Linked DNA regions of Drosophila melanogaster. Changing the gene in region 4 together with the main gene of any one other region gives a genetic interaction. Each region holds a gene or a part of one and is shown on either strand. Other genes may lie near its edges.

Region 1 (9,538 bases), about 14 Mb from region 4:
AAGATATACTACCGCTCCCAGAGGTCCCACCGGAAGTGAAGCAAACTCAAGATGAGAAGCTTGTGGAGGGACAACCTAATCAAAGCCAACCCGATGAAGAGCTACCCATGAAGGATGATGATCAAGAAGAACCATCGTCCTCTGTGCAGCGTGAAGAGATTACCACCAATTTCGACAATCCACCAACGGAACCTGGCCTAAGTAGAACACCATTGGCGCCCCATGAGTTGGACTCAGATTCGAATTACAGTTTTTCCGAGCACTTTGAACTGCCCAGCTCGACAACCAGTGATGGTCAACCCAACACCCAACTGCCGCTCGTCCGCACCATGGGGACTCTACCCGATGTCATACCCCTAAGTAAAGACGATTTTGAACTATCCTCTAACGTCCAGGGAATTTCCATGTGTGTTAACTCCAGTAGCACCAGTTTACGCACTGACGAAACGCCCGATCCGGACTCCAGTGAAGAACTGCCAGATGTTCCAAGCGAGGGCAAAATCATTATGGCGCGCGAAGAATCCGAGTACCTGTTCAGTGCGGAGGGCCGAACTTTTCTGGCGGCAGCCGCCAAACAGTGTCATGTAAGCGTGCGGATGGACTTTAAGGACTACGGTTATGTACTGGTGATATATGGCCTTAAAAAGCACCAGGAAGAGTTGCAAGTGAAACTGCTTCGACGCAGTCAGGAAGTCAAGCGCAAGAGCATCGAGTTCCAGAGCCAGAAACCCCCCAAACGTATTGATGTGCTGATCCGCTTTCTGCGGGATGGAATCAACAGTCTAAACACCAATCTAGGAAACGCCAAGAGCCACTACGTGCGCATCAAGGAGCTAGAGGGGATGAACACCAAAAACGGTTTTAAGATGGCAGAAAAAAAGCGCCGCCAGCTTAACATGATCCTCGTCGGCCAGGCGGGACTCCTGAATGGCAAAACACATCTCGATCAGTTGCTAGTCTTATTGCGTCGCCTGATCGATGACTTCTCGCCAGATGAACACGCCACGCCACAGTTGCGCAATGAGATCGAGGAGCATTGGCGAATGATCTTCTCGTCATATCCGCATCCGAATTACGACTCTCTGCTAAACAGCTATGGACGTTTGGATCAAAAGAATCGCTTGCCCTCGTTGCACATAGATCCTGTGCTGTTGGGACTGCAACAAAAGAAAACGCAGAGTCAGCCGCAATCGCCTAGTAAGGGGCCACCATCGCCAACGCCTCTCCCACCAGTTCGGCAGGACATGGCTCCACCACCACCTCCTAAAATGTCAAAGAAGAAGCAACGTCAAGCCCTGGATCAGCAAACACAAAATCAACAACGGCAGCAGCAACAGCAACAGCAACGTCTGCAGCAGCAACATCAAAACCAACAGCAACGCTTGCAGCAGCAGCAAAAGCAACAGCAGCAAAGTCTACAACAGCAACACCAGCAACAACGTGTGCAACAGCAACGTATGCAACAACAGCAGCAGCATCAGCAGCAAGACAACAACCAATATCAGCAGAATCTACGACGTCCACAGATCGACCAGATGCCCTACAATAATCTCCAGCAACGATCACGATCCGATCTTCAGCTGCGCCATACTCTCAATCCGGAGTGTGACCGTCTGTTGAGTGAAATGGATCACAATCAACCTGGCAGCATCAACAAGGACGCCAACAAACCGTCCATGTTCTGGTCACGCGAATCGCTAAAGTACCTCGATGATCTTTTCAAGATGACCTCCAACACAGAGACCGTAGAGCGGCTGAAACGAGTGCTACAGCGATCGCAGCGTGGTCTGCTGTCGCACAACGATTACCGAGCGGTCATTCGACTGCATTCCCTGATGTGCAACTGAGGATTAGCCAGGGTCATGGAATTTATTTCCTGGTGGGTCACCTTCATTTTGTTTAACAAATGCCAACAGATTTCACAATGGGTATCTTAAAGATATTACCCAAAAACCGAATAAATACATAACTGACTATTTTGAAAAAAAAACTCGATTTTATGATTTTATTAGGAATGAAGAGGCTCCAAATAACTGTGTAAATGTGTTTAGGATTTGAGTTGAATTTGTTATTTAATTTTTAAGTGTAAGTGTAGAAATAGTAACAAAATAATGACATCAAAGAACCGAATTTCAAATAAAAAACGGGACTCATTTTCTACTTCGTTTGCAATAAGTTACTATTTATTTATTTCAAACTCAAGAATGTCACACTACAAATTATAAAATTAATGTTATACAGTTTCGTTGTCGGCATTTTATACTTTTTCCTTGGCTTTCATGTTACATGGTCAGTTGTCTTAGAGTAGAGTTGTCCTTGGTTCTATGCAGCGGTAGTCTGTTGCTGCTCCTGGGTGGTCGTGGACTGCGCCGAAGAGATCTCCCCAGACTTTTCGTTGACTCCCAGCCAGGGACAGCGCTTCTGCAGCTCCAAGCGGTATCTGGGGTGACTTATGGCATAGACGAATGGGTCTATGCACGCCACCAGTTTGCAGGTGCAGGCCGGGATCATCGTGGCTCCTGGTGTAAGCAGACTCTTATCCCCGAATGCCCCGATCAGCGACATTACGCCGTAGGGCGTCCACGACACGAAGAACAGGAAGCAGATGGTGATAGCCGCCTTCGCAATCCGTATCTCCGCCGTCTCCTTGCTCTTGTCCACATTGGAGCGCAGCGACTCCACGTTCATTTTCTTGGCCTGCTCCCGTAGGGCCTTTTCGTGGCTGAAGACATGGCCCACGATCTGCGAGTAGTAGTAAAGGATCATCAGCGTGGGACACACGAAGCTGAAAAAGAAGATGGTGCCCACAAACAACCGGGTGTCAAAGTTGTCCGAAAGATAGTCGAAGGAGCAGGACGTGAGGTAGCCCTCTGGAAATGCATAAAAGTGAAGAAGATTAATGGGATTTTTGGTATTAGGATATTTATTTACTTCATATTCGTAAAACGCAATTTTACTCTTTCGTAAATTTGTTTCTTCGAATTTCCCGATCCAAACTAAGTTCTTAAACATTCCCGCCAATGATGTGACACAAGGTCAAGGTATCACCAATCAATATTTTTATTTAATTTTTTGTATTGCCTATATTATTTGATTGGAAATACTATAAATCATAAAAAAGTATTTATTAATGAATTATTTTAAAAATTAGGCTTTAGTTGTCAATAAGAGTAACAGACTACATTATTAACTTTGATCCTTTAAAAATTATGCGCCTGATTCGATTTGTATTATTTCAAAACTGATGTTTTCCTGTTATTAAATTAATTTGACAAACGTGGCAAGGCTGTTAAGTAATCGATGACAGCAATTGATAGCTACCAGGAGGCACTGCGATGTTGCCGATTGCGTGTAATCGACTATCTGGAATCGAATAGACGACAATTGGGGTTCCATCTCTGCAACCGACGCGGACATTAGAAGAAACTCAGTATAGTAAAGTAAATTAATTAATTAACCAGCTAAAGGCAGACATCACGCCCAAAGTACATGGAGAATGCCGAAAAAGACTGAATTCCACACCGCGCAAGGGCAAGTGCAATAAACGCCGACTGCGACGATCAAAGAACGCAATATAGAAAAAGTGAGACACACGAAAAAAACCCATTTCGCTGCCTGTGTGTAAATGCAAATGGTTTATTTTTGTGCAGCAACAACAACAACACAACATCAGCAGCAGCAGCAACACAGAGGCAGAAAAGGCGAAAATAACTAGTAAAGCTAAATATGAATAAATGTGTATGTGTGCGGGTCGCGTTAAAGAAAATTAGATAAAAAGCCAAATGAAATTAGCTCACGCCTGAATTTCGAGTTTCGGTTCGGTGCAAGGTGAACGAAAAGGCGAAAAGCAATCAAAACAGTTTTTCCATTTTCCCAGTGTGCGTGTGCAGTAGCAAAACCACCTGCATTGGTTATATATATATATGCGGTTAAAAAAATAACAAATTGCAACGTAAAAAACGGAACTTGCACCTAGGATATATACACACACATGCTGGCTGTATGCGTGTGTGTGTGTGCATGGCCGTAAAGGCTGACTGACTGATAAAAAAGGAAACAAAAAAATAACAAGAAAATAAAATATACACATACACACACACACCAACGCAGCGGGGCACCAATACCTCGGCACAATTTCTTGGAGGCAGCCTGCCATGTAAGTTTACATATCAACGATTATGTATTTCGCAGTTGTTGTTGCTGTTTAAACAGCAGCCTAGTCGCACTTAATGGCGGCATAAATTAAAGAAAGATAGTCGCATTTCGCTTTGCTCCGCAACTTACGTTTTCTATTTTACCATTTTGCAACTCATGAAAGCAGAAGCTAAGTTAATTATATTCATGGCTATGACTTTTGTGGCAATTACCATTTTTACCCCGTATGAACGTTTCCAACGGTACGCAACGTAAACGAACTGTTAATTATGTGTGTGCGATCTGTGTCTGTGTTGTAAGTGTGTGAGTTTCCCTCCCCGCGGCTGCCATCCCCTACCGCCACCCACCCCCTACACATCCTCGTTGCATTTGTTACGTTACGCACTCTTCATTACGATATTACGTTTATGCGGGCGATGGTACGAATTTCATAATGGCAAATGTTCAAATAATTTTTCCAATATATAGGGTAAAGTATTAAACATTTGTATGTTCATGCGTTTCATGTGTTTTTGTTTTGGGTTAATAAGGAAACATATTATTTATTTTTTAGGTTTGAGTTTGTTTTCGAATATAAACAATATTACTGAACTCCTTTCACACAAAATTTTGATAGCAATCATATAGCAAATATATTCCCGTTAGGAAAGAGAACAAGTTTTGTTTGTACATCAAAGCTAAACAATTACGAAAACTTTATATTATTATATTGATATTTATCTTATAAACGCACCAAAGCACCCACAGCATATTGTTCACACTAATGTGTGCCCATTCTGTCCAAAGTGGACAAACCCGTGAAACCGAACCACACCCATTACAACCAGCACGACACCCACCATCGCACAATCCCGCCATGGGTCGACGTCCCTAATGGCCGTCCATCAGCGTCGGCTCCGTCAGCTCCGCCTGATAAGAGCCAACATATTTGCGCCGTTCCACACGTGCCGCCAAGAGGCTTTTGGGCTTGGGCTCGGAGTTGGAATCGGAATCGGGCCTTCATTTCGATCGGAGACGTGACGGCGACCTCGGGCTGTGTCTTTGCTTTTCGCAGACCAACTCCGGTTCGATACGTTCCGCTTTAAGTAATTGCTTAAATGCAATTCCCATACACGCAAATGCGTGTGTTTTCTTTTTTCGGTAATTACAACAATTGGGAATCCACGGCAAGGTTAAGGCCAGGAATGATAAATCGCTTTGGCTTTTCTATTGGGCGGCACGAAAAACGAACTACCTAGTAGTAGTGATTACGCGAAATAAGTTTTAAATTAATAAGGCTCAAATTAAATTATTACAAATGGATAGTAGTTTTGCTGGGCAACATTTTTTATAGCAATCGAGTAGATTTTGCTTACACAGTTTGCATTCATTTCATTTCTATTACTTCATGGAAAAATATTTTTGCCTATTACTCATGTCCCAGTGGGCACAATAGTTTGGAATGAACATTCAAATCAATAGTATGCTCCGAACTTAAGCCGCAAAATCGATAGAAAGCTCATAACATATGTTCAAATTTAAACCAGCATTTATGCAGTGTGTTATACTGTGATTTTTTTTGTTGGTTGATATATGTTATTTTTGGATTAACTAAGCCTAATCGAAACAAACTATTTTTGTTAAGATATCTGTATGGTTTTGTAGGTTATTGTTTTTTGGAGTTTCTTATCACTGAACGAACAAAATTACAAAAAAAAGAAAAAAAAATTATACATATGCTATGACTAAATTGACCGCATTACTCACTGACCTGTGATTGTATCTCATTTTAGACAGAAGCACAAGAAAGCCATTGCCGAAGCCACCGGGAGGGCGAAGAACCTGAACCTGGCGAGAATTGCAGGGACCCAGAAGAATTGTAGACACATTCGTGCCGTTGCGAGAACCCTTCCAATGTCCAATAAAATCAACCCGAAGCGCCGCGAACCGACAGCAGCAGCAGCAGGAGCCGGTGCCACGGGAGTGGCCACCAACACGAGCACCTCGACCGGATCCTCCAGTGCCGGCAACACGTCCTCGGCCAACACATCCTCGTCGTCCAGCTCCTCGCTGTCGTCCGCCGGTGGCGGTGATGCGGGCATGTCCGCCGACTTGACCTCGCTGTTTGAATGCCCCGTGTGCTTTGACTATGTGCTACCGCCGATCCTGCAGTGCTCCAGCGGGCACCTGGTGTGCGTGTCCTGTCGCTCCAAGCTCACCTGCTGCCCCACCTGCCGCGGTCCGCTGGCGAATATCCGCAACCTGGCGATGGAGAAGGTTGCCTCGAACGTCAAGTTCCCGTGCAAGCACTCCGGCTACGGATGCACCGCCTCGCTGGTTTACACGGAAAAGACAGAACACGAGGAGACGTGCGAGTGCCGGCCCTACCTGTGTCCGTGCCCGGGCGCCAGCTGTAAGTGGCAGGGCCCGCTTGACCTAGTCATGCAGCATCTGATGATGTCGCACAAGAGCATCACAACGCTGCAGGGCGAGGACATCGTGTTCCTGGCCACCGACATCAACCTGCCCGGCGCCGTCGATTGGGTAATGATGCAGTCCTGCTTCGGCCACCATTTTATGCTCGTGCTGGAGAAGCAGGAGAAGTACGACGGACACCAGCAGTTCTTTGCCATCGTTCAGCTGATCGGGTCGCGCAAGGAAGCGGAGAACTTTGTCTATCGCCTGGAGTTGAACGGAAACCGACGCCGGCTCACCTGGGAGGCAATGCCGCGTTCGATCCACGAGGGCGTCGCTTCCGCAATTCACAACTCGGACTGCCTGGTGTTCGACACGTCGATTGCGCAATTGTTCGCCGACAATGGCAACCTGGGCATTAACGTGACCATATCTCTGGTCTAAACGCACTGTCAATTCGTCGGGTTCTTTCATTTCTTGTGTTTACTATTCCGATACAAATACATATATAGTTTATAGCCCTCTGTTCGCATCAGGCGTCTAACTCGTGGACAGATTGTGAGTCTGGAGATTAAGAAGAAAGAGTTTTGCAGAGTTGTTTTATAAAAATGATTCTCTATTCTAAGAGCCACTTACATGCATATGTATATATATCTATGGAAATATCAGGCTGCTTCGATTATCACATTCGGCACGATATCGCAGTTTTCTTTGATTTTTAAGCTAAGACACTCACAATTTTCCAAAGCGAAATGGAAAGCGTATTAAAGCAATTGCTAAGTGATGTTCAGTGTTTATTGCACACGTTCGTTAAACCTGTAAAACCGCGTTTAAAATTCGTATTTTCATTTTTAGTTTGCACATGACTGTGTGTAAATCTCACTCGTTTGCAGAAAAATGCCAAATATTTTTGGTGAGATTTCGCAGATTTGTATAACACACTTTCCTGTCGAATGCGAAAATCGTGGCTGACCTGTATGTTTGTATGTTTAATCGGTTCGATTGGTACTCTAGTTCTAGGACATGATTTTTCAGTTACCGCACACACAATACTATATATTTCAAAGTTTCAGTGTTACCCGTTTTGTTAGTTCATGGGGTTCTGCTTTAGTTTAATTTAGTTCGTAAGGTCCACACACCTGGAGCAGAGCTGCCTGCGCGTGCCCACGTGCCCACCACCTACTACAGTGAACGCTAGGAACACACAGACCCACTCACCAAAACGAGGAGAACAGCAAGAAAGGCGAGGAGGTCACTCATCCACTCGAACATGTACTGCAAAGTCTAGTTTAGTTAATGTAAATTATTTTATACAATACTTGTAAATGGTAATAAGTAAAACGAACAGTTTAACGAAATTAACAAACCTAATAACCCACAAAGAAAAGTAATATTTGATAGCGATAATCTGTAATAACTCGAGAGTTGTTTGAAAGTTGCAGCCTAAACGAAACTGCGACCCGCAATTTTGTTCATGCCAAACCATCACAAAATAACAAAAACACACTAAAAAAAAAAGAAAACATTTTTTTTCGCAATGCTAAAAAGACAGTTGCCCCTTCCCATTTCCCCCCAAGTCCCCCCAAACATATAAAGCAATGTTAATGTTTAAATTTCTATCTAGTTAAGACGATCTCCCCGGTTTGGCTCATGTTTTGGTTTTGATTTCCATTCGGCCAACGTTTCCCAATCGAAAACGGAAGAAAAATTAATGATTTTAAGCATCTGCACCGTAATTAGCTTTTAATGCGCCGATTTACCGCGCCACTACCATATGAGATCACTCACACAGACACAAAACTACAAAACTGAAATAAACATGATTAGTAAAAGTAAACAATGCTCGTTAATTATTGAAATTAATCTGGGGGAAGCTGAATTACAAAGAAGAGCTACGCCACTTTATAAACTTGTCGATTTAAATCAGTTATCTGTTTAATTTGGATTATCTTTGAGATACTTGGGTTACTTCTAATGCGTTTTAAAACGTTGCAATAATAGATGGCACAAGTTTTTAGTGGTGCACCGCCGAAGCATCTTAAAGATTTAGCTGGATTGGTATCTTACTAGGATACTTAGGCCAATTTCAAAAATAAATTTTTAAGCTGATTTTAAAATGATTTAAAGCAAGTAGGCTCCGAAGTAAAAGTAGCTCATTATACTTTTAGCTTCGTTGTATTGTGGTACAGATTGTATTTTCGAATTCTTTTAAGCAAAATTTCAGTGTTCAGAAAAAGTAAAAAAAAAGTAAAACCATCGGCACTCTCATTCTTCAGAATCGTTTGGTTGTTAGGTCTTAGGATTAATAGCTTGCGCATTGATTGTTGGCTGAAGCACAGATGTCTGTTCGCAACTCACGCCCCCAGTTATCGTGGCCGGAGCGGGTAAGTCCGCAAAGGACTATTGACACTCCAACGGCATCCGGAGAAATGTTGACTCGTCGTCAATCGGCACCAGCGTTGGTCGTGCCGCCGGAGGAGACCACGCACGTTGTGGTGGTCAAGCGGCAATCCCCGGACGCAGCCGCTGCCGGAGAACTGGTGCCGTCTAGGCGGAAGGACTCGGTGGCTGTGCAGTCGGGAATTGTGGCCACTGGGCCATTGGACACAACACGCAGTGGTGCAAGAGACGATTTTCTAATGGCTTTGCTCGAGTGCCCGGTGTGCTTTGGCTACATAATGCCGCCAATTATGCAGTGCCCGCGTGGCCACCTCATCTGCTCCACCTGCCGCTCAAAGTTGACCATTTGCCCCGTCTGCCGGGTGTTCATGACCAACATCCGCAGCCTGGCAATGGAGAAGGTGGCCTCCAAGCTGATCTTTCCCTGCAAGCATTCGCATTTCGGCTGCAGAGCGCGGCTCTCTTACGCAGAGAAGACCAAGCACGAGGAGGATTGCGAATGCCGTCCGTACTTCTGCCCGTATCCGGATGACAAGTGCTCCTGGCAGGGACCGTTGAGGGACGTATACCAGCACCTGATGAGCTCCCA
Region 2 (7,167 bases), on a different chromosome or scaffold from region 4:
ATCTGCTTCTCGCGCCGCAGTTCGTCATTCAGGCGGCAGTAGGTGTTGTTGATGCAGACGCTGCGCCGCAGGTTCGCCTCCGAGTCCTTGATCCTCTCCATCTTGTGGGCGCAGAGCTGGAGGATCCGCTTGCGCTCCTCGCGCTGCCGCAGCTTTGGCGAGATCATGGGCACACGGGAACGGTGATGGTGATAGCCGATGGGCGGGGAGCAGCGGGGTGGTCCAAACATGTCTGAGTCTTCGTCGCTGCTGCTGCTGTTGTTACTGCTGATATTGCTGTGGTTGTTGTTGCCGCTGCCGCCGTCGTTTGCAGATGCGTGTGTGTTTGTGGGCAAGGTCATTGTGCGTTTTTCAAGCAAGTGTGTGCCTTGTTTGCTGGCTTGTTTATGTGGTTTTCTTTGACAGACAGAAAACAACTTTGCTGCTTTGATTTGCAATTTAATTTTGATTCGAGTGATTTTCGATAAATTATTTGAAACAAGGAAGTCACACCACTCGGCTCACATACGCTCTCTTTTGCGAGCTCTTTTTGCTCTCTTGCACTTGCTGCTGCTGGTACTGCTGGTGCTGCTTCTTCTTCTGTCTGACTTTGCTTTTTCTTTTCTTTTTGCTGATTTCTGTTTTTCTTTTTGTTGTTGCCTTGCGAGATTTCACTTGGCTGTTCACCGTTAGTCGAGCCTGCCGCTTTTGTTGTTGTCTTTGAAGTTTGGCAAAATTCAAAATAATCCAGGACTTTTGAATTTTTGTGTTTTATTTTTTTTTTTTTTTAAGAACTTGCACTTGCTTACGCTATGTAGTCAAACACAATAAAAAAATTCAACAAAAATTGTCAGATTTGTTTGTTTAGTTTTAGGCACACAATTGACTCAAAATTGCAGAGGGGTCGGGGCTTCACATTAATTGTTTCTATTTCTTAGTGGTCTCTTCTAATTTTTCGGTGGCCGCCTGTTGAGGGTTTAAGGTGAGGGGTGAAGAGAACTTTGTGCTTGGTCACCGTGGCTTACTGTTTCGGTTCCTGTTTCAACCGCACACGTCCGCACGGTTCTCGCGTTCGAAACGAAATAAAAACGCAAACGCTAAATGAAAGACGTTCGCTCGCAGCCGCTGCCGCAGTGGCGTCGCTGCCTCTGCCCTCGGTGGCAGAGCGCACAGATGTTTGCGTTCAAACGGAAGTGGCTTAAGAGAGCGCCTAAGAGAGAGAGAGTGAGAGAGCGAATGGCCTACGTGCGTATTTGTACATGCATACACACAGCTGAGGCAAACAAATAATAACACCTAGGCGCTTAAATAAAAGTTTTTAGGCCAATCGTCTCAAGCTAAATGATTTGATTTACTTTATATAGGTGCTCTGTATGAACTAAGTTAATTGACATATTGCATTAACAATCTTTACAGACACAATAATCTTAGTTCCAACTTGCAAATTGCTAACATAATTTTTCCAATATTCCCACATATCTTAAAACTGTAATTACATTTTCAGTGCTATTCTCTCCACCTGCACTGTACATGTGTATGTATATTTGTCGCAAAGATTTTTACTCATTTGTAACGGAAGCAAATCGCTGGTCAGTGGGTGGTGTATTTGTGTTGTCGTGGGTGTTTGAGTGGTTGGGCGCTTCGGTGATGAGCATAATCCGCATAGTTGTTGCTCCTGCCCCTTTATTATGTAAAAATAGTGACTTTGGCTGGATTTGGCTATGCAAAGTACTTGCTAAGGCAATCACCTACACTTGCGGCAACTGCTAATTGAGAAATCCACACGGCGCTGACATGGAATCATTCGAATCCATTGAAATTGCCAAATTAGGCGTGGGGGTAACCCCTTGAACTTATCGGCTCGGCTTAACGGGTTTAACAAAATTAAATACACACATATGCGCATGTATACATATGTTCATGCTTGTAGAGTGGCTCCTATAGTCTGTTTTGCGAATCAGAATCCAAGTAGAATAGTTTTTTAAGTGTTGTCTCAAAGATGTATGCATACATGGATGTATGTATGTATGTGTGCTTATGACTCTGTAGAAGGTCTATAAACTATGTATTTTGAGGTTTTGAAATGCGAGCTCGAATCAACCCCCTTCCCCGTTTCCAGCTCGATTCATCCTCTTCAACAAGTTCATCTCATCATTTACAGTTTTAGCATGATCCGAAAAATAACAACAACAACAACGACAACAACAAAAGCAAGAAAGTGGGCACAAATAATCGTAACAACAACAATTGTGAGGTCAGTTTGGCACTAGTCAGCGTGTGTGATTATGTGCGCACTTATGTCTGCGTGCATGTACATACATACATATGTTTGTGTGCGAGCACAAAGAGACAATGCAAATTTGCACTCAAACAAAGAGAGAGCGAGTGCAAGTGCGAGTGCGAGAGAAAGGGAAGAGTTCATGAGCGTGCGTTGTGAATGGCTGGAGGGGTCGAGTGCTGTGAGTGGGGGGATCTTTGTTTATCATTTTTGTGTACTATTATTAAGGCGCCGCTGACGGTCGATGACGACATACACACACACACACACACACACACGCAAATGCAAACATAGAGTTTGCACGTGTTTGTGCAAAGTGTTTAGCCGCAAGAAGTAAAGTTCTCGTTTTGATTTTGTTTATTCAAAATTGAAATTCCCAGAAACAAAAGCTCCCATGACGATGATGATTCACATGCCAGACGCTGCGGGGAAAAACATCAGGAACTTTATCAGCTAATTGTGTCACAAGAGGACAAATAAGCCAGAAACATTTGCCTGCGCGCGTTTCTTGGTATAGTGCCATCAACTCGATCTCGATCTCAGTAGTTCATCTTTTATAATGCCCACACACACATACATATGTACATATATGAGCATATGTACATATGTACATAAGTCATATGTACATATATGAGCATATGTATGTACATAAGTCATATGTACGTACATACGTTTTTGATTATCTTAAAAAATTGTAATCACACGTACTCCTGCCATTTGACTTAGACCCACTTTCGATATTGACAAATTTTCAATGGTTTTACATTTTTTCCCCACCTCTATTCATAATTTCTGTGTCTCTTGTGTTGCTTAAATGGGCCGTTTTGATTTCTTTCGCGTCTCATTCCAATTCCATCCCTCTTCCATTCCCATTGCCACACGCTTGGCGCTCTTTTGCATTTTCTTAAAGTCGCCCAGATAAGTTCGGAATTACGTAATTAAGCGGCAGCAGCAACAACAAAAACAACATAACCAACAAGCTAACAATTAAGTATTTATTGCTTTCAATTTGCTGCCCGATAACAAAAGAAGCCAAAAAACAAAAAGGAAAAACGAGAGACTGGAAAAAACAAGCAGAACAAAGTAAATAAAAACCGAAACGGACACACATACACACACACACACACCGCTACCTGCGTCGACAGCGGCAGCGAAATCAGCGCCTCGCTTCAATTTTATTCCGTTTGAATTTGAAGATGTTTTTAGTGCACTGCCATTAAGTCCTTAGCACGCGCTTTTATTTCGCTTCGTTTCAATGTGCAGGTAGGAATAACAAAAAGCGGAGGATGGGAGTGACAACGAAATCGAAACTTTGCAACAAAATTGCATTTGAATGAGCAGCGGGGGCGCGCGGTAATTTCAATTATCAATAACATATTTAAATTCCCCATTCTCCTCCCCTTCTATTATCCTCTGTCCCTCCTTCCCCCCTCCACGGACTCCTACACCTTTTTTAGTCGCTCTCTCAACTCTTGATTGCTCTCTCTCTCCCTCTCTCTGTGCGATGGGAACGTTCTCTTTGCCTTTGCATCGGCCACTTCACTTCAGCGGAGAGCACAGTGGGATAAATTGGCAGTTGATGACCCATTGTTGCATTATTGTGTTTTAACCATAAAGCCAACAAATGCTTGGCGTTCAAGCCCTTCATGGAGTAACGCATATCAACGGATTGTCGGGGATTATCCAACGTCTTAAAGTCAAAATCTTACAAATCGCAGTATTTACCTGGCAAACGTGTTAATCCACAGGTAAGTTGGGCTGAAACCACCCTAAGTCAATATCAAGGGTTTTTTTTTAGATCTTTCTAAAGTTTAATTGTACGCATGTCTTAGCTTCGAATTCTTGTCATCCGAAATGCTTTGTTGTCCATTTGTTCTTGTTCTGGCCCACTGTGCCGCGTGTGAATGAACGTATAAAAAGTGAGAGCGTCGCCTGCCCGACTCATAAACGAAAATCAATGACTCCCAATGCGCGTACCCTTCCCTCACCCCCCTGCGGAGCCCAACGCTTTTTGGGAGTGATAAATGCCGCCTCAGCGTCGTCAGCAGATTTCAGCCTGCGCATGTTTGTCGGCCCGCAAACACTCGCAAACACACACACACGCTCTTCCCGTGATGTTTGTTGATTTGGCTGCATTCAAGAAACGACAGTGCTTGGGGCAGTGGGCATTGTTAGACTTTTAGTCGTTTCAACTCTACTTTCAGTGGGTATCATCCGCAACCAAAAGGAGGAAGGATGAACATTGCATGTGTGTACATACATATGTACATACGCAGTACGTAGTACGGATTACGTATTACGTATGGGCAGTTGCCATTTATGCAAGGTGGCTGTTCCTGCACTCGAACACATGTTTGTGTGGTCATTTGTAATTTGGTCAGGCGAGCAACAAGAAAAAAGGATAATGAAAGGATCAAATGTGCGTAGAACGTACATATAAAGGGTGTGATATCACAATTATTTTCGATGACTTCGTTTAATGTTGGAAAAGTAGACGGGAATGCATTACATCGAAGTGAACTATTTAACTTTGGATAGAACTGTTGTTTTTTGTAGGCATTTGCATTTCTCGCCGCTTCTTCTGCTCCTCCTCCTGCTCTTCGCTTTGGCGTTGGCGAGAGAGCGCCTCGTTGGTCTCTTTGTGTGTTTATGCTTTCAACATTGATACGTGCCACTTTTCGGATGCAGACTTGCGAGAAGCAGCGGGGGGGGGGGGGGGGGAAGAGGAAGTGGCAGAAGCTGGTAGACGGGGGCAACGTGTGGGGACAGCTGGGTGAGTTTGTAATTAATTGCGGCCTTGCCTCCCCTTCACCGCCAAACATCCTCATCCCCGGCAGCCAGGCTCCCTCGCTCGCTCAGGCAAACTCTCTCGCTGAGAAACCAGCCGCCAACAGTTTGTTTTCTTTTCTCGCCGCTCTCATCGTCACTTCCGACTCGTCGGGGGCAGAGGGTGGGCCAGCGGCATACTCTTTGTCTAGTCGCCAATCTCCCCGCACTCCACTTCATTCATGAAGCACAAAGTGTACAGCAGACACTCGCTAAGTGACTAGTGTTTCGTAATTCATTAAGATTTTTGTTGGTTTTCTTCTCTCATTTTTCCCGCACCAATTCTGCACTATTCACAAGTAAAAATGGCACCAACTCTCTTATTTGTGGGCACTAAAACGACCATGAATCGTCGTTCGGTGTTCACTGTACCTGCTGCCAGTAGCCCAAAAACGGACAGTGGCTGAGGCGTCAGCGTCGGCAGAGCAAAGAAAGCGCGCTAGTTACAGTTACAGTTACGTTACAGAGGGCCAAAGACAATGCTAGGCTTGGTTAACGGTAATTACAGCGTTTGTGGGGGGGGGGGGTGTGGTGTAGTGCTCGGGCGTAGCTAGGCAGAGGGATATTTGTTAATACATATGTAGCACTCGAATTCTTTAGTTGGTTTATAATATCATCAAGAATGAGGAAAAAACTAGCTAATTTGTTGATAAATGTTAAGATGCCCCTCTGTTTTAAGTCCTCACTAAGCCCATGAAAAGCACCGTTAATTGAGTGGGATGATCCCCATTGAAAGCGCAGTACTACAGCTAATTCCAATACCACTTTCAATATCCAATTGCTCGCCTTTCAATCGTCGAAACGGTGAACGAAGAGGAGAAAAGATAAGGGTATGTACCGAAATGTGGAAATACCCGAAAGGGCCATTGGAATATGGGATATTGAACCCTAATCGTGAAGACCTCGTGTTTTCTTTGACTCATCAGCCGATTTTGCGATAATGCGCTCTTTTTGGTATCCGTTGGATGATACATAAATTAAATACATAAATGATAACTTATAGAAACACCATACACAACTGTTTAGAAATTTGTGTCAATCACTGTGACTCACTCATGATTGGTGGCTCTATCCACTTGCAACTGCGGACTACGGACTAGGCTAAGAATTGCTTAGAATCGCTTAGCACTGAGAAAAATATAGGTGTTGTTTAGATTTGGTGCTCGGTTCCCAGGACACTCTCCCCAAATTGTCTTTAAAATACCGCATCGCTTGTTTGGAAACATGAAAAACAAACCGCAATGTTTTTCTTGTTGATTATGCATACATACATATGTATGTATGCATGTACATTCGTTTTGCGGTTAGTGGATTTTTTTTGTTTAAGTACCAAAGCATATAGTGATCCGAACGGCAAAACAATGCATTGCAGCATAATAACCTCAAAAGACTTCAAATATTTAGCTACCAAAAAGCGGTTAGCAACAACTACAACAACAACGACCCAAGGGCATGCCTCTTCTTCTTCGTCATTACTTCTTTTTCATTTCGTTCGTCATCTCATTTTTTGTTTCGGTTACTTGTGGTCTGCGATCGAAACACGAAATAAAATCTAAAAGTCGATGTCGAACTCGAAGTTTCGTGCGAGTACGAGTGCAGTTTGCTGGAAGGAGAAGGCAAGATGAAGTTTCTCGCTCCTACTCGCATTATCGTCGCATTGTTGTGTTTGTTTCAAACTATGTTTATGCGTAGACTTCAGGAACTAATTAATTCGTTAAATCCGAATCCATTCACAAATTGTCGATGCTTACACGCTTTCATTTGAATCGAAAACAGACATGGGTTTCCTTACCTCACAATTTCAGGAAACGAGCGGCGCATAAACATTGTAAGAATGCGTGTTTGCCGCCCTTGCTTGCATATGCGTGTATGTGAGTGTGTGTGTGGTTAAATGCAGTTTTGCCTTGTTATTGTTTTTCTGTGGCACGTTTCGATTTGGATTTTTGATTTGTGTGCCATTCGATGTGAGATGTACGTAACGTTGGCCTAAGGTAACGTAATGCGGGCCCATTCTTATGTTTTGCCCGCAAGTTGCAGTCAAACGAGGAGTATTTATGATTTAATTAATTAAATTATTATCGAAT
Region 3 (6,801 bases), on a different chromosome or scaffold from region 4:
CTATTTCATTGAACACAACTGTGGGCACTTTCAGTACTTATATTCTGATAAGAATTCAAATTGTCTGACGCATTCGCATAAATTAAAGAGCTTCACATCATATAAGCATCTATCAATAAAATGAAAAAGGCTAGAAAATGGCAAAAACCAAACGAAATGCTGGAATCAGCTGATTGGGATGGTCAAAAATACACGTCATCCCAGAGATACAAAAGTCCAATTGGACTGGACAAGCGATACTCTAGAGGACTTTTCGCATTGCAATGTTATTTTTGTTCTTATTCCAACAATTAGCTGTAAAACAAAAAAAAACACACACTTACGCATGCAGATGATTAATCAAATCGAATTGAGTGCAATTTGTGGGTGTAATTGTGAAATGTTGTTGTATTGATTTGTCTTGCTCATAAACGTGTTCTAGATGATTTTTTAGGGCTTCACACACTCAACAGGTCCCCATAATACACACGTACATAGATACGAAAATAGAGTTATTTAGCTGCTCTCCTTTCGCTAAAAGGATTCCCCGTTACTTTTGGGCGCTCATGTGTGCGTTGTGCCTAATGCGTAGTTCTATTTTTAGAACAGGACAAAAGACTGCGCTTCGCCTAATCACAAATCCCAATTGGAGTGGGTGGGGTGGACGGGCAAAACGCCCATTTCACGCTAAATCGCTCTCAGCACTTGTGCTTGTGTGTGTGTGCGCTTTCTAATAAAAGATTCCATGGGTCCATCTTTATCTTTATCTTTATCTATGGGATTAGGCAGTGTTCCCTTTGTTTTCATTTTCATTTGCATTTTCGTTTGCTTACCTTCCAGAATCGTTGGCTTATCATTGGGCGCCGCTGTGGCGGTAGATGCATCGGCATTTCCAGTGGCGGCGCTATTTCCAGCAGCTGATTTGTTGTTGGCGGATCCTCCCCCTGTGGCAGCACCACTACCACCGCCGCCAACCCCTCGGCCGTCCATCTTCTTGGTGGAATTGCGCGTTCTCTTCCACTTCTCCAGCTTAACGGGATTTCAGACAGCGATTAACTTTAACGCGCACTTCGCGATCGCGGAAAAACTCGGAAAAACAAGAGATTCACTGCGTTGCGAAATTGTTTGTGTTTAAAACGGGTGGCTGCACTCACATAGGGGAAAAACGGCTGTGGAAATTTTAGTACGTTTTTTATCAACACCATGGACTAGTTGGGCTTCCGAACATGGTGTGTGCCCTCACTGTTCAGTGGTGGCGCAAACCATAGATGACCATAAAAATGAAATTCAAATGTACTGTGTATAAAATAATAGTTATGCATACAGTCTCGTTTTATTATACGGAATTAGCAATTAAGTAAATTTTAAATTTTAAGCTACACAGGCAGTACAGCATACTAATACAATATTAAAGGAAAAAACGCTTTTGAGGTAGTTTTGAAAGTATTTGAGAGCAATTGAAATGCTTAATTTTAATCACTTGATAGCACTTCTGAAATTAAATAGCATAGACATTTGATTTTCTCGCAATTTCTGCCCTCGCAGATAAGCTGACGTTCTTCTCACGCTATTATATTCCCAGCGATAAGAACTATTTCCCTTCGATGTGATAAGTCGGAGGTAAATTTAAAATAAACACTTTTTAAAATCATAAGAACTCTGCGTTGTTATTTTAATTCGATATCAGTATTTCGACCACAAACCAAGGCTGAACCACAAAATATGGCCCAATGATAGTCTCTTATCACGCCTTTCCTTCGCTAAAAAGAACACATGTCATTTGGAATCCTTGTTTTCTTTGCGCTAGCAACAACACACAGTTTTTAATTAACACTTTTTGCGATAATAGCAGATTTGATAAGCATGTTAAGTATCAGTTTTAAAGTAGATTCTCTGATTTTCATCTCTAATATCCAAAATGTATCTATATGAATACAATTTTCCATAAGTGCGTTTTAAATACATGTATGTTAAATTTTAAATAAAATAATAAAAAAAAAAACACAACTTATTTATTTTCTCATGAAAATCTAATCATATCCAGCTCCTAAATATTTTCGAAATTTCCCGGCTGAACAAGAGCGCCGCTCTTAAGTCGTCACGCTCTCAGCTGATTAAAGAGAGCGCGCTTAAATGCGATTCCAATTGGAAGTGGTTGCAGCCGGTGGTGGATGAAAATGTGTCCACCAATGGCGCGCCTCAAATGCCATGTCCACCTGACCAATCAGAATCCGGGGGCGGTGCCAAGTGCAAGGGAAACGCAGGAGCGAGCGAGAGGGAGAGCAACTGTTTATTTGATTAAGCATTTAAATTCTATTATTTTTAGCGAAATTTATTAAAAATTTGATGCAACAGCACTGCGTGGAATGGTGACTTGTCACAATGCACATACTAGGCCATGCATTTACAGAAGAGCAAGAGAGAGAGAGAGAGAGAGAGAGCGAGCAACTTAAGAGACCCAAAACGCCCCGGCCAAAGAGAGTCGTTCTCGTTCCAATTGGCTCGCGAGGCAAGTGGAAAAACGATTGGATTCGACTCAGAGCCGAGCTCAATCGTCTCGCGAAATTCAAGCGGCGCAGTCAAAAGTTAAAAGTCAGTTTCAGTTATGTTTTGGAGTACGACGCGCGAGCATTATTGTTTCCATTGTTAGCGAAGTTTTTAATCGACTGAAAGAAACACAAGAAAATAACACCTCGCTTACGTGTTAACCCTTTTTTTTTGTAACTTGTGCTTAAGTCACTTAAAGAAATACCGAAGAAAGTAAACTAAGTGTGTGTGTAAGTGTTAAACAAAGTAGTAAACAAAAAGCGCGCCAAAATCGGCTAACTTTTAGTTATTAACTCGAATTTCGTCACCAACTAAATTTAAACAAAAGAGCGACACAGTTTCGCCAGAAACTTGCATTCAAACATATTGTTAAACAGTTTTACATTAAACTAAACACAAACCAAAGTGCTATTAAGTGCAGTTAGTAACAAAATAAAAGTGATAAATGGTGACACAAACGAATTAAGGCAATGTTTTTATGACAAAAACTTAAGTTCATATTTTTTAAGGCTTTATTTTGCGACTGTGAAATAATTTGTTTACTTTGTTGCTTGTTCTCAAACAAATAATATACAATAGTAATTGTAAAAGCTTCTTATACATTGTTTGAATAAACAAATAACTGACTCTTTTACAACCATTTATGATTACTTGGGAGATCAGTTGTGAACATTAAATGTTTATATTGTACTATATTGTTTTTACACCGATTCCCAGAAATATCATCAAAGTTAAACTCGAGAAAAGGAGGCCCGTCTGCGAATCGGGAGTCAAACATAGAGTATTACTAATTAGCCGAGTGAAGTGCAAACAATAAAAATATCCAAATCAAACGAAATCAAATTTAATTAAGTTCAGAAATCATCTGGCAAAAGCATGCTCAAAAAAGAGAAAGAAAAAACAACAATAGCAACAAATGCACCGCTAATTCCTGTGACTAATTTATCAAAGTGCGAACTAGCAAAATGTCGATCGTCGTAGTACTCGCAGTTATTTAATATGTATTCAGAAAGGCAAACATATTTTTAATCATTTTTTAAATTTATATATATTGTTTTTTGCAATTATTTCTTTATTTAAACGTACGCCAGTGAACTGTTTCTATATGTACTTTAATTAAATTGCTTAATATGAAACAAATTTGAGATGTTGTCATGGATTGTTTTTAATGAATCGATCGGCATTTTAAGTTTTCAATTAAACACGAATCTTTCTCATATCGTAAGTGCAATTGCAAACAATTGTTAAGTACGCTTTTTTTTTTCTGTGAATTCGTTTAGAGATTAGAGTTTATTGATGAGTGAACAAAAGACACCGCCGGAGCGAAGTGTGATAAGCGCTTGACCTGCGACCCGCACACACTGCAAGAAAAAAAGGGGCAAGCGAGCGGATCAAAGGTCACCGCCGTCGACGAATGCATTTGCATCTCCTGGCGGCAGAGAAGACGCCTCCATCTCCATCTCCAAATCCAACTCCAACTCCATCAGCATCTCCATCTGGGCATACGGGCGCTGCTGGGGAGTCGCAATTGGACTTGGCATCGCAAACGGAATCGCAATTGCAGCTGGGCTTGCCATTGGCTTCCGGATACGGACTCGGACTCGGATTGGGACTGGGCTTGGGATTGGGACTGGGCCAGGAATTGGTGGCGGACCACAGCACCACTGTGGCGCCCGTCAGCGTTGCCGGTCCCGGCCGCCTGGGTCGCAGCATCAACGGCAGCGGCGGCAGCCACCACCATCACCACCTGCACCACCACTACTCACCGTACCACCACGCCCACCCCTACCACCCACCGCATCCGCACGCGCCCCACCACCACCACCACCACCACCCACCGTATCCGTATCCGCCGGCAGGACCACATCCGCCGGCCATGGTCACATCGTCATCCACATCGCCGACGGGCAACGGCTGGAGCAGCTCCACCGGCGACTTCAAGGGCATCACAGCGGTGGCGACGGCCACTGGCGGCGGCGTAGGTGGTGCCACCCAGGGCGCCACTGCATCCACGGGCGCCACAGCCGCTGAGGTTTTGGCCGTTTCGAGTAGTGCCAGTGTTGGCAGCAGCTCGCCCACAGGTGGCGCCAGCAATGGTACAGCCCATAGTGGGCATAGTGGACACACCGGCGGTCACAGCAGTAGTACCGCCAGCAACAACAACAACAACGGTGCCAGCAATAGCAATAGCAACAATAACAACGCCGTTCACCAGGATCTATTGTGGATGGAGCGATTGGTACAGAAGCGACAACAGGAACATCCCGGCGAATTGGGTGAGTTGTTGGTGGGATATTACCAATAACCTAGTAGTAACACAGTCTGCAAAAGGGTTAAGGATTAATAGCTACCTTAATGTCCTTCAAAATCAAAGTGAATATGAAGATATAGTCTAACTGGATTTGTAATTTCCCGTGAACAAAATTGATTGAACAGAGGGATTTAGCTTACTAACTGTAAATAGCAAATTCTTTGCTACCAGATTCCCAATATGATCTATGGTTCTTGATATAATATATCTTATGAATATAAGATTGATAGATAGATATATATATCAAGGCAAGCCTCTGCGGAGACAGCTCTTCCATTCACAAGGTATCAGCATCTTTAGCTCGTGTCGAGGGGATCTGGTGGATGCTTTGCAGGTCTGTTCGATAATCCGATCCCCGAAAGGTGGAGCGCACATTCTTGCCACATCCTTGCACAATGCACTTCTGGGGCTTCCACATCGTGGCAATCACGATCATCGGACGCAGCCTTATCGGATTCCATGGGTATGATGATCGTGATGATGATACCGATGGCGATGATGATGGTGATGCCAGTGAAGATGGGACTGGCATCGCCGTCGGAATATGCGTAAATTGATATCAATAATTGTTATTGATATCAACGCACGAGTCGTTCCCCTTTTTTATTTTGTTAATGCCACCTTTTTTTTTTTTTTCTTATTCCTTGCTGCCCGTTGAACTTTCCTCCCGATTTATCAATGATATCAATGACCCAGAGCGAAAGCTGCTAATGAAATCTCAGCTCATCGCACCGTCAGTCTTGAAATTAGCTGGGGAATCCGCAAACTGGTTATCCTATATGATTTTTTTTTTCACTTCTGAGTCCTTTCATAACTTGTGCTCAATGGATAGCCTTCATATCGAATTGCAACTATCAGGACTTTACACTCTTGTCTTAAAGTAATATTTATATTCCATTCCATTTGAGTTAGTATCGTACCTATGGGATTCAATCAGGATCTGGATGTGCCTAGTCTATTACAATTTATTATTACACAGTTTGGTTTTCAGGGCAGCGCACATTTGATTCCTGACACCTATGTAAAACATGATTTCCAAACCTACAGCGGTGTGACAAATTAAATTTAATGATTATCAGCAATTAGATGTCCATATTTCGGTCTATTTTGCGCGCCAGTCGCGAGTAAATAAATCATTTATTCAGCCAGCCCAGCTCTCCACACTTTGCTCTACTTTCGACACCAGGTCAACAGTCAAACGTCATCTGATAACCGATAACCCCTTCCGGTCCGGTCCGTTCGTTCCGTTCCGTTTGACATCTCCCCGCTCATTAATTAATTATGCACCGCCGGATGGCGAGTCGATGGTCGAAGGACCCAGTATCCAGCATCCTGCATCCAGTGTTCAGTATCCACGATGATTGATATTTATGGACCGACACGAAACTATAAATAATTGAATATTTTTGATGGCCGTGAAAATGTGATTTTAATCAGCGAACCCTTGGCTAATTAAAACCAAACTGATTTATCCTGATTTTTTTTTTTTTTTACCCACTTTCTTCATTTTCCAGTGCGCACGAGCAATCCGTACTTCCTGTGCTCCGCCCTGCCCGCCCATTGGCGCTCCAACAAGACGCTGCCGATGGCCTTCAAGGTCGTCGCTCTGGCGGAAGTGGGCGATGGCACCTATGTCACCATCCGGGCGGGAAACGATGAGAATTGCTGCGCGGAGCTGCGCAACTTCACCACCCAGATGAAGAACGACGTGGCCAAGTTCAATGATCTGCGTTTCGTGGGACGCAGCGGAAGAGGTGAGTTGCAGTGCTGTCCGAACGGTCACTTGGGAATTATAAGCTAAAATGGAGAGAAGAAGTGCAAACGGTAGGCGGTGTGAAAAAGAAAGGAGTTGGTAAACTAACTATCTTCTGTGAATCAGGATCAGATCAGGATAATATATAGTAATTTCTAATAACTGATGAAAATGATCTATATATAACTTATATACTTTATAGCACTTTATA
Region 4 (8,360 bases):
ACGGGCAGTTGCCCGGATGGTTACTTCTGTGACGCCTCCACCCAGGAGATCTGCGTCACCAAGGCCACTGATGACTCCATCATCTGCCACTTGAATTAGCCTCGCTAATTATTGGATATAAATAAATGATTTTGCCTAATAATATATTGCTTTTGTTATTAAATAAAATTCGTTTTGGGTAAATGGATTTAAAAGCGTTTTTTATATACACCTACTTTATTAGATGCATCGGAACTGATGTTATGCTTAAAACTAATATATAAAATAATTTATCAGTAAAATACCCCTTATATTGCCAAGTCTATAATGGCAAAATAAACTATAAGTCTAGAAACTCTTCCGAATTTTCCGTATTTTTTTTCTCCAGCCAGGAGCGTGCAATCCGCATCGAGGGCAGGCGGAAGCGCCACTCGTCGCAACAGTACTTGTACACCTCGTCGCCCAGTTGAAGTAGTTCGGTGGCAAACTCTCGCTCGTCATCCTTCCAAGTGCGTTCCTCAGAGCCGCCGAACATTTCCATGCGCAGCAATGCGGCCATCGTGGGCCCCACGTATTTCTTTATTGCCATGTATAGCTGGGGTTTGCTTAGAGAAAGAGCAGTGGGTTTGATTGCAGCTGAAGTCCACGGGGACTCCGCTTGCAGTCGTTTTAGTTTGGCATTCTCCTCAGACAGCTTTTCAAACTCGGCCTGCAGTTTATCGTACTCCTGAAGAAGCTTATCGCGATGGGCATCTTCCGATGAAGATGGTTTTTCATCTGGTTCAGACTCGTCCTCACTGTCAGTACTAAGTGGTATGTTCTCTTCAAGGTTTAGAAAAGATTCAGATAAGGTTTCGGAAATGGAATCACTCTGACTATTTTCTTTGCTAGAACTAAGATTAATTTGGATGGATTGGGTGGGTTTCTCCAACATCGGAGTCTTCTGCTCATCCCAGAATTTCTCTTGCAATTGTGTATATCGGTTCAATATCGTACCGTTCTCAGGTGAAGCGTGGGAGTCAGTCTTTTGTGCTTCTTGGGGTAGCTTCCTTTTCTTAGCCTGCTCCTTGGTGGATTCATCTTCGTTCAGTCTATCAGCATCTGCCTCCTGCATCCCACGTTTTCTAACCACAGTCCCTTTAATTGGTCGGTACTCTTTTCTAGTTGGCACTTGCTTTTCTTGACATTTATCGGCAAGCTTTGGCATTTTCATAACGTCAATAATACAACTTTTTGATTTAATTTGCTTTTCTGATTCCTTGGTGACTGTTCGCATCTTGCTTGTATCATCAGTTTGTTCTTTTGGGAGCTGCTCTTCAAGCTGAAACAACTCATTCTCGCTTCCTGATTGACGCTTTACTGGTCTTTTAATCAATTTGATGCCCAATGAAGGCTGAAGTTGACTTATGATATCTAGAATGTTTTGAGGCATAGCCGAAGCGCTTGTTGATGTTGTAGAACTCTTATGCGCCACCGTTGTTTTCTCCGTGTGTACAACCGGCTGTTCCTGCTCCGTAGCCAGCACTTCGTCGGCTTCGTCTTTCCCTTGCGGTTCCTCCTCTTCTGTCAACTCTACTGTATTTCGTTTCTTAACAACATCCAAATTCTGTGTCTCACCATCCACGAATCCCAGAGGACACTCGAAATCTTTAGGTGGTATTAGGTGTTGCTGCTTTGGAGGCGTCAACTTCACGAGAAGAGCTTCACCGTTCTGGTCGAGATTTTCATAGTCTAGTGCCAGATCCCTGTTGATCCTGAACAAAGTGGGCGTCTGCATTGGGATGAGTCTGTCCATTTTGTAGTTCATGAAGCATTCCGCTCGAAAGTGCCGGGCACAAACTGTTTTGGCTGCCAGTTTGGACGGCGGTGCATTTGAAACGTCAGGGTTTGAACAATTCCTGACCCAATCTTTCAACCTCTTCGGATCCTTAACGGGGAACTTGAAGAAGTGCATATTGGGGTTGCGGCTAGAACCCACCGGACAATCACGAAAACAACACTTAGTGCCGCCCATTTGTTTAAATATAAGCAAACAACTTTTATGTTATTAGTGGTGGAAGTGTTAGCGTCAGCTGGTGATATCGATGGGAGGCATCGATAACAGAATTGACCGAAACCAAATGATCGATATGACACTTCTTAATTAATGAGAGATTTTTTACTTGACTGGGCTTGTAGCAGGTTTTGCACAGAAGCAATTATTTTCCGGAATGTGAAATGTCTGCTTTTTAGCTAATTACAACAAAAACTTTCCAATTTTTGTTCCCCAAACCCACTCAAGTGATTTCAAATTTTACCGTCCGCTTAAAATGGAACTAGTTTATTCCAGAGGAACCAGCTTGCACCACCAAGTCTCTGAAACTCTGGAAATATCGATAGTCTGGTGGAGAAAAGTATTCATAAATATAAATAAAAATTAACAGGTCATAAGCTGATTTGTTTATTATTTACTGTTAAAACAAGTAAAATAATATTGGGAACAATTAAATTTTCCATTTTCCTAATTACAGTATAAGCCTAGTGGGCGTTTTGATATCCAATTGTAATGTTTTAAGCAATCCCAGTGGGCTTTGCTCAATCGTTCGGACCACTTAGACGAATTTCCACCAAACTTAGTTCAGTATAATTTTTGAATTCGCCCGCACAGGTTGCGCACTTTTCGACCGTATCACAACACTGATCTACCCTAGTATTCACAGGAAGTTGCATCCCTGGCATCCAGAAGCCTCTAGAAGTTTCTAGAGACTTCCAGTTCGGGTCGGGTTTTTCTATAAAAGCAGACGCGCGGCGTTTGCCGGTTCGAGTCTTGAAAAAAATTTCGTACGGTGTGCGTCGTAACAACAAGCAGCGTCTGAAAAGTTTTGTGAATTTCCAATTCTATACAAAGCAAAGTGAAAATATCTGTATTTTTACCTTTATTCTGTGAATAGAACGAAAAACATACATACAAGGTGAGTAATGCAAATTACAAGAAAAGAGTGAATAGTTTATCAGTGGCTATGGCCAAAATGTGCATTTTGCGTGGTCCTGTGCATCTCGAATGTTCTTGACCCAAATGTGAGATATTGATTTTAAATTTCTAGGAGCCAAGTTTAAGAATTTTTTTTGATTAATTAAGAGGTGGCAACGTGCAAATTAACTCAAAATGCCGGTTTCTTTTATTTTTTGTCGCTTGGACGCATCTTCCAGAGGTTTCTATGCTTTAGCATGAATTAAACATCGTGCCAAATAGGCCTTTTAATTATATATTACTGTCCTTTATTTACAATTACATGTGGTTTATAGAATACAAGATTAATTTTTGTTTAATGCAATGGTCTTTTAGCGCTAAATCGAATTATGCCGCTCTTTTTAGGGGGTGACAATGCGCAAATCACATTTGCCGCTCGAGAATGTTCTAGAGGTTTCTATGCTTTAGCATGAATTAAACAGCGTGCCAAATAGGCTTTTTAATTATAAATTACTGTCCTTCATTTACAATTACACGTGCTTTCTTTGCATTCCCATTTTAAATTGCACATGCCGCATACGCACACATGCACGCCCATGACTAATACTTTCAAGTAAAAATGTGGCGTCAGTAAGCAAATTCTGTTAAATCGGTTTTTTAATCCTATTTGCTCTATTTTAATTGGTTGGTTGCTACTAGCAACTTGCTAGGCGAATTAGTTTTCCTTTGGCTTCTAGATGCTTCCACAAACTTCCTTGGTGAAGTACGAATTTTCAATGCAATGCTCACTCACACAGACACGAGTTTGCACACAGCAGGGGTAGAAAAATTATCAACCGACCCAATTTGCATAATTATATTTAAATATTTAAATTTAAAACATTATTTTGCAACTTAAAATCAATTCTGTTGGCTAATTGAAATTAAAATTCCATTTTACGGGTTGCAAAGTGAATGCTATAATTTTGACCACCACTGTACTTGTATATGCGCATGTTAAATGAGGCATGTGCAAAAGAGAAAGAAAGAAAAAGAATAAAACCGGAGCAGCTGCTGAAAATGCAGCTGCTTTTCCTTAGTGTTGAACCCACAGACTATAACTAATCCTAATGATTTTGTAAATCCATTGCAGATGCCAGAAGAAGCAGAGACCTTTGCATTCCAGGCTGAGATTGCTCAGCTGATGTCCCTGATCATCAACACATTCTACTCGAACAAGGAGATTTTCCTGCGCGAGTTGATCTCGAACGCTTCCGATGCCCTGGACAAGATCCGCTATGAGTCCCTTACTGACCCCAGCAAGCTGGACTCTGGCAAGGAGCTGTACATCAAGCTGATCCCTAACAAGACGGCTGGTACTCTGACCATCATTGATACCGGTATCGGTATGACCAAGTCCGACCTGGTCAACAACTTGGGAACCATTGCCAAGTCCGGAACCAAGGCCTTCATGGAGGCTCTGCAGGCTGGTGCCGACATTTCCATGATCGGTCAGTTCGGTGTGGGTTTCTACTCCGCCTACCTGGTCGCCGACAAGGTGACTGTCACCTCCAAGAACAACGATGACGAGCAGTACGTGTGGGAGTCCTCTGCCGGAGGCTCTTTCACAGTCCGTGCCGACAACTCTGAGCCCCTGGGCCGTGGCACCAAGATCGTGCTGTACATCAAGGAGGACCAGACCGACTATCTGGAGGAGAGCAAGATCAAGGAGATTGTTAACAAGCACTCCCAGTTCATTGGCTACCCCATCAAGCTGCTCGTAGAGAAGGAGCGCGAGAAGGAGGTCAGCGACGATGAGGCTGATGATGAGAAGAAGGAAGGTGATGAGAAGAAGGAGATGGAGACTGATGAGCCCAAAATCGAGGATGTTGGCGAGGATGAGGATGCCGACAAGAAGGACAAGGATGCCAAGAAGAAGAAGACCATCAAGGAGAAGTACACTGAGGATGAGGAGCTGAACAAGACCAAGCCCATCTGGACCCGCAATCCCGATGATATCTCCCAGGAGGAGTACGGCGAGTTCTACAAATCCCTGACCAACGACTGGGAGGATCATCTGGCCGTCAAGCACTTCTCCGTGGAGGGTCAGCTGGAGTTCCGTGCTCTGCTCTTCATTCCCCGTCGCACGCCCTTCGATCTCTTCGAGAACCAGAAGAAGCGCAACAACATCAAGCTGTACGTGCGTCGTGTCTTCATCATGGACAACTGCGAGGACCTCATTCCAGAGTACTTGAACTTCATGAAGGGTGTGGTCGACTCCGAGGATCTGCCCCTCAACATCTCACGTGAGATGCTGCAGCAGAACAAGGTCCTAAAGGTGATCCGCAAGAACCTGGTCAAGAAGACCATGGAGCTGATTGAGGAGCTCACCGAGGACAAGGAGAACTACAAGAAGTTCTATGACCAGTTCAGCAAGAACCTGAAGCTGGGTGTGCACGAGGACAGCAACAACCGTGCCAAGTTGGCCGACTTCCTTCGCTTCCACACCTCTGCCTCCGGCGACGATTTCTGCTCCCTGGCCGACTACGTGTCGCGCATGAAGGATAACCAGAAGCACGTGTACTTCATCACTGGCGAGTCCAAGGACCAGGTCAGCAACTCTGCCTTCGTGGAGCGCGTCAAGGCCCGTGGCTTCGAGGTGGTCTACATGACCGAGCCCATCGATGAGTATGTCATCCAGCACTTGAAGGAGTACAAGGGCAAGCAGCTGGTCTCTGTCACCAAGGAGGGTCTGGAGCTGCCTGAGGATGAGAGCGAGAAGAAGAAGCGCGAGGAGGACAAGGCCAAGTTCGAGAGCCTGTGCAAGCTGATGAAGTCCATCCTGGACAACAAGGTCGAGAAGGTGGTGGTGTCCAACCGCCTGGTGGATTCGCCCTGCTGCATTGTCACTTCGCAGTTCGGCTGGTCCGCTAACATGGAGCGCATCATGAAGGCCCAGGCTCTGCGTGATACCGCCACAATGGGCTACATGGCCGGCAAGAAGCAGCTGGAGATCAACCCCGATCACCCAATTGTGGAGACTCTCCGCCAGAAGGCCGATGCCGACAAGAACGATAAGGCCGTCAAGGATCTGGTCATCCTGCTGTTCGAGACCTCTCTGCTGTCCTCTGGATTCTCGCTGGACAGCCCCCAGGTGCACGCCAGCCGCATCTACCGCATGATCAAGCTGGGCTTGGGAATCGACGAGGACGAGCCTATGACTACCGACGATGCCCAGAGCGCCGGAGATGCCCCCTCGCTGGTTGAGGACACAGAGGACGCTTCCCACATGGAGGAGGTCGATTAAGCGACCAGTCGAAACAAACAACCAAAATTCATTCTATCACTCGCATTCACATACACAATTTACTTGCGTTTCGAACTTTTATACTGAGTTTACTACGGCCGAGTTAAATTTTGTATTCATTAACATTTTGCCGCGTTATAAGCGACAGACATACGCTTAACTCATAAAAAAGCAGGAATAACTCGTTAAATGGTTAGGTTCTCACAGAACATTCAAGAGCAGTTGTCGTTTTAAGAACTTATAATTTAGAATCCAAGTAATTTATGTAAAAAACTAAAGACTACATACGCGCCCTAGTTGGTAGAGCTATATAAAGAATCGAGTATATATATAATTAAGGTTTGATGACCCGATCGATGATAAACATAAAACCAAATAAACAACAAGCAAATGTGTTTTAAAAATCTAACTTCTGAGCGAGTATTTATTGGGGGGAATAAACAATCTATGAATCGGATTCTTTGCGCAGCAGCTGCTCAATGGCCTCCACCGTGGACACTCCCTTGGTTATCATTATTATCTTGTTTCGCGATCGAGATCCCTTGTCCAAAGAAACGTCGCTCTTTCGAAGACCTAGAACTTTCGACAGAAACTTGACCAGTTCGGCGTTAGCTTCTCCCTCGCTGGGCGGAGCGGCGATTTGGACGCCCACTCCTTCAAAGCCAATTCCTGTGATTCCGTTCTGCTTAGCCCCCGGCTTGGCAAGGATTTGTATGCATATATTGCCGCTCTTATCGACTGAAATCGGACTGGCTTCCTTAGCCGGCATCGCTTTTGCATCGTTTTTCGCACTTTCAACGCCGGCCTTTGATTTCCCCTTGCTCTTCGACATTATTTGGGCGTTGACCGATGTAAACAAGCGGCGCATTAGCTTCTTGGCAATTATTTTAAATATTTTGTGTTTTTAAATGCATTTTAATAGCAACTAGTGTTTAATTTTGCGAGGTCTACTGGCGTCTATCAGCTGATTCGTGGAGAAAACCAGGGATGCGCACATATAGGGATGAGCATATCTCGTGAGTTCTCACTCACGAAACGAAGATAAAACTACATTTTTACATTCCATGTAACTTACAGATTGGACATGAATAGTACGATTCAAAAATGTATTTTTATTTTCCTGTTGAGTATTATTTAACGGTTTTCTAAACACATTCCCCCCGAAGTCACCACAACATGTAAATAAAAGTATTAAAACAAAATATGATTAGGTAAAAAATTATCATATATTCATCATTGTTATGTACTCATAGTTTCTTCTCTACTCGTCTTTGCATTAGAAAACAACGCTTTAACACTTTGCACTATTTAAAACTGCGCCGAGAAGCATCTTAAAAATGCATTTATCGCCTATAAATGATCGGGGATCATTATTCAGTTGCTTAGGAGAGAATTGCAGGAATGCACATTGCAGAGCTTACAGTTAAATCAATTAATGCAAAATGCTTTAAATGGACTTAAATTTTGTATGTGTTTTATAGGAGTTGATATTGCAGAAACGATAATAAAGCCAAGTTGTTTGGGGTCATCCTCTGGTTGCACATGTTGCCGGGGACTATTAAGCTAGGGAAGGTGTTAGTAGTAGCAAGTGAAGGTTCCGGAAAGGTCTATTATCTTCCTCCAGATGCACCTGCTCTCTGTGTATCTTATGCGAGGTGAAGCCTTTCCTTACGCGGCGCGTATCGACTGAACAATCTGGAAAATGGCAGAGCCGCAGACCACAAAGATGAACAGCGCCAGGAGCCAGGGACCCACCGGATATTGACCCTCTTTCGTTTTCTGCGAAAAAGAGAAGTTCAGATTAGTCTTGTCACATCTTGTATGGTGAATATATTGTATATTGCATTAAGAGATTACTGGAAATCGTCGATGGGATGGCAACATCTAATCAGAATTTCCAGAAGTGCCGATAACACGCTCATACACACGCCAGCCTCCGCACACATACAAACATGCATACATATGACCAATAATAAAATCAATGACGGCGTGGCACTTTTCGCCATTTGATTATCGAGCAATTCTAATCGCAATTTTACTGCTATCTCCACTTTCCCCAATCAGAATAGTTTCAATTAATAGTTTTAAGCGAAACTTACCGAGGATTTGGGTACATTGCCACGCATTGTCACATATTTGCTGGCC

Evidence for each region.
Region 1: of Hsp83 (region 4) and sina, changing one enhances a phenotype caused by changing the other (phenotypic enhancement), as found in Drosophila melanogaster (2 studies listed by BioGRID).
Region 2: of Hsp83 (region 4) and Raf, changing one suppresses a phenotype caused by changing the other (phenotypic suppression), as found in Drosophila melanogaster (one study listed by BioGRID).
Region 3: of Hsp83 (region 4) and lz, changing one enhances a phenotype caused by changing the other (phenotypic enhancement), as found in Drosophila melanogaster (one study listed by BioGRID).

The regions. Positions count from the first base shown.
Region 1 is NT_037436.4:16,850,370-16,859,907, forward strand, and holds sina (seven in absentia), read left to right. Parts: upstream 1-3,381; 5' UTR 3,382-4,156; intron 4,157-5,549; exon of another isoform or gene 5,550-5,615; intron 5,616-5,927; 5' UTR 5,928-6,048; coding exon 6,049-6,993; 3' UTR 6,994-8,343; downstream 8,344-9,538. Other genes in the region: Zcchc7 (zinc finger CCHC-type containing 7), read left to right, coding at 1-1,847; Rh4 (rhodopsin 4), read right to left, coding at 2,323-2,870; sinah (sina homologue), read left to right, coding at 8,889-9,538. UniProt on the Drosophila melanogaster protein: E3 ubiquitin-protein ligase that is required for specification of R7 photoreceptor cell fate in the eye by mediating the ubiquitination and subsequent proteasomal degradation of Tramtrack (ttk).
Region 2 is NC_004354.4:2,292,349-2,299,515, forward strand, and holds the start of Raf (Raf oncogene), read left to right. Parts: upstream 1-3,117; 5' UTR 3,118-3,610; intron 3,611-3,805; 5' UTR 3,806-4,005; intron 4,006-7,167. Other genes in the region: CG2865 (uncharacterized protein), read right to left, coding at 1-341.
Region 3 is NC_004354.4:9,281,981-9,288,781, forward strand, and holds the start of lz (lozenge), read left to right. Parts: upstream 1-2,668; 5' UTR 2,669-2,756; intron 2,757-3,806; 5' UTR 3,807-3,940; coding exon 3,941-4,802; intron 4,803-6,351; coding exon 6,352-6,591; intron 6,592-6,801. Other genes in the region: c11.1, read right to left, coding at 813-969. UniProt on the Drosophila melanogaster protein: Involved in prepatterning photoreceptor precursors in the developing eye; in the larval eye disk it defines a subset of cells as an equipotential group that is competent to respond to the sevenless developmental signal and another subset that confer proper photoreceptor identity by positively regulating the homeo box gene Bar.
Region 4 is NT_037436.4:3,190,438-3,198,797, forward strand, and holds Hsp83 (heat shock protein 83), read left to right. Parts: upstream 1-2,531; 5' UTR 2,532-2,930; intron 2,931-4,061; coding exon 4,062-6,215; 3' UTR 6,216-6,622; downstream 6,623-8,360. Other genes in the region: CG14958 (uncharacterized protein), read left to right, coding at 1-99; CG14965 (uncharacterized protein), read right to left, coding at 320-1,993; CG14966 (uncharacterized protein), read right to left, coding at 6,661-7,083; CG32276 (uncharacterized protein), read right to left, coding at 7,884-7,994, 8,315-8,360. UniProt on the Drosophila melanogaster protein: Molecular chaperone that promotes the maturation, structural maintenance and proper regulation of specific target proteins involved for instance in cell cycle control and signal transduction. Undergoes a functional cycle that is linked to its ATPase activity.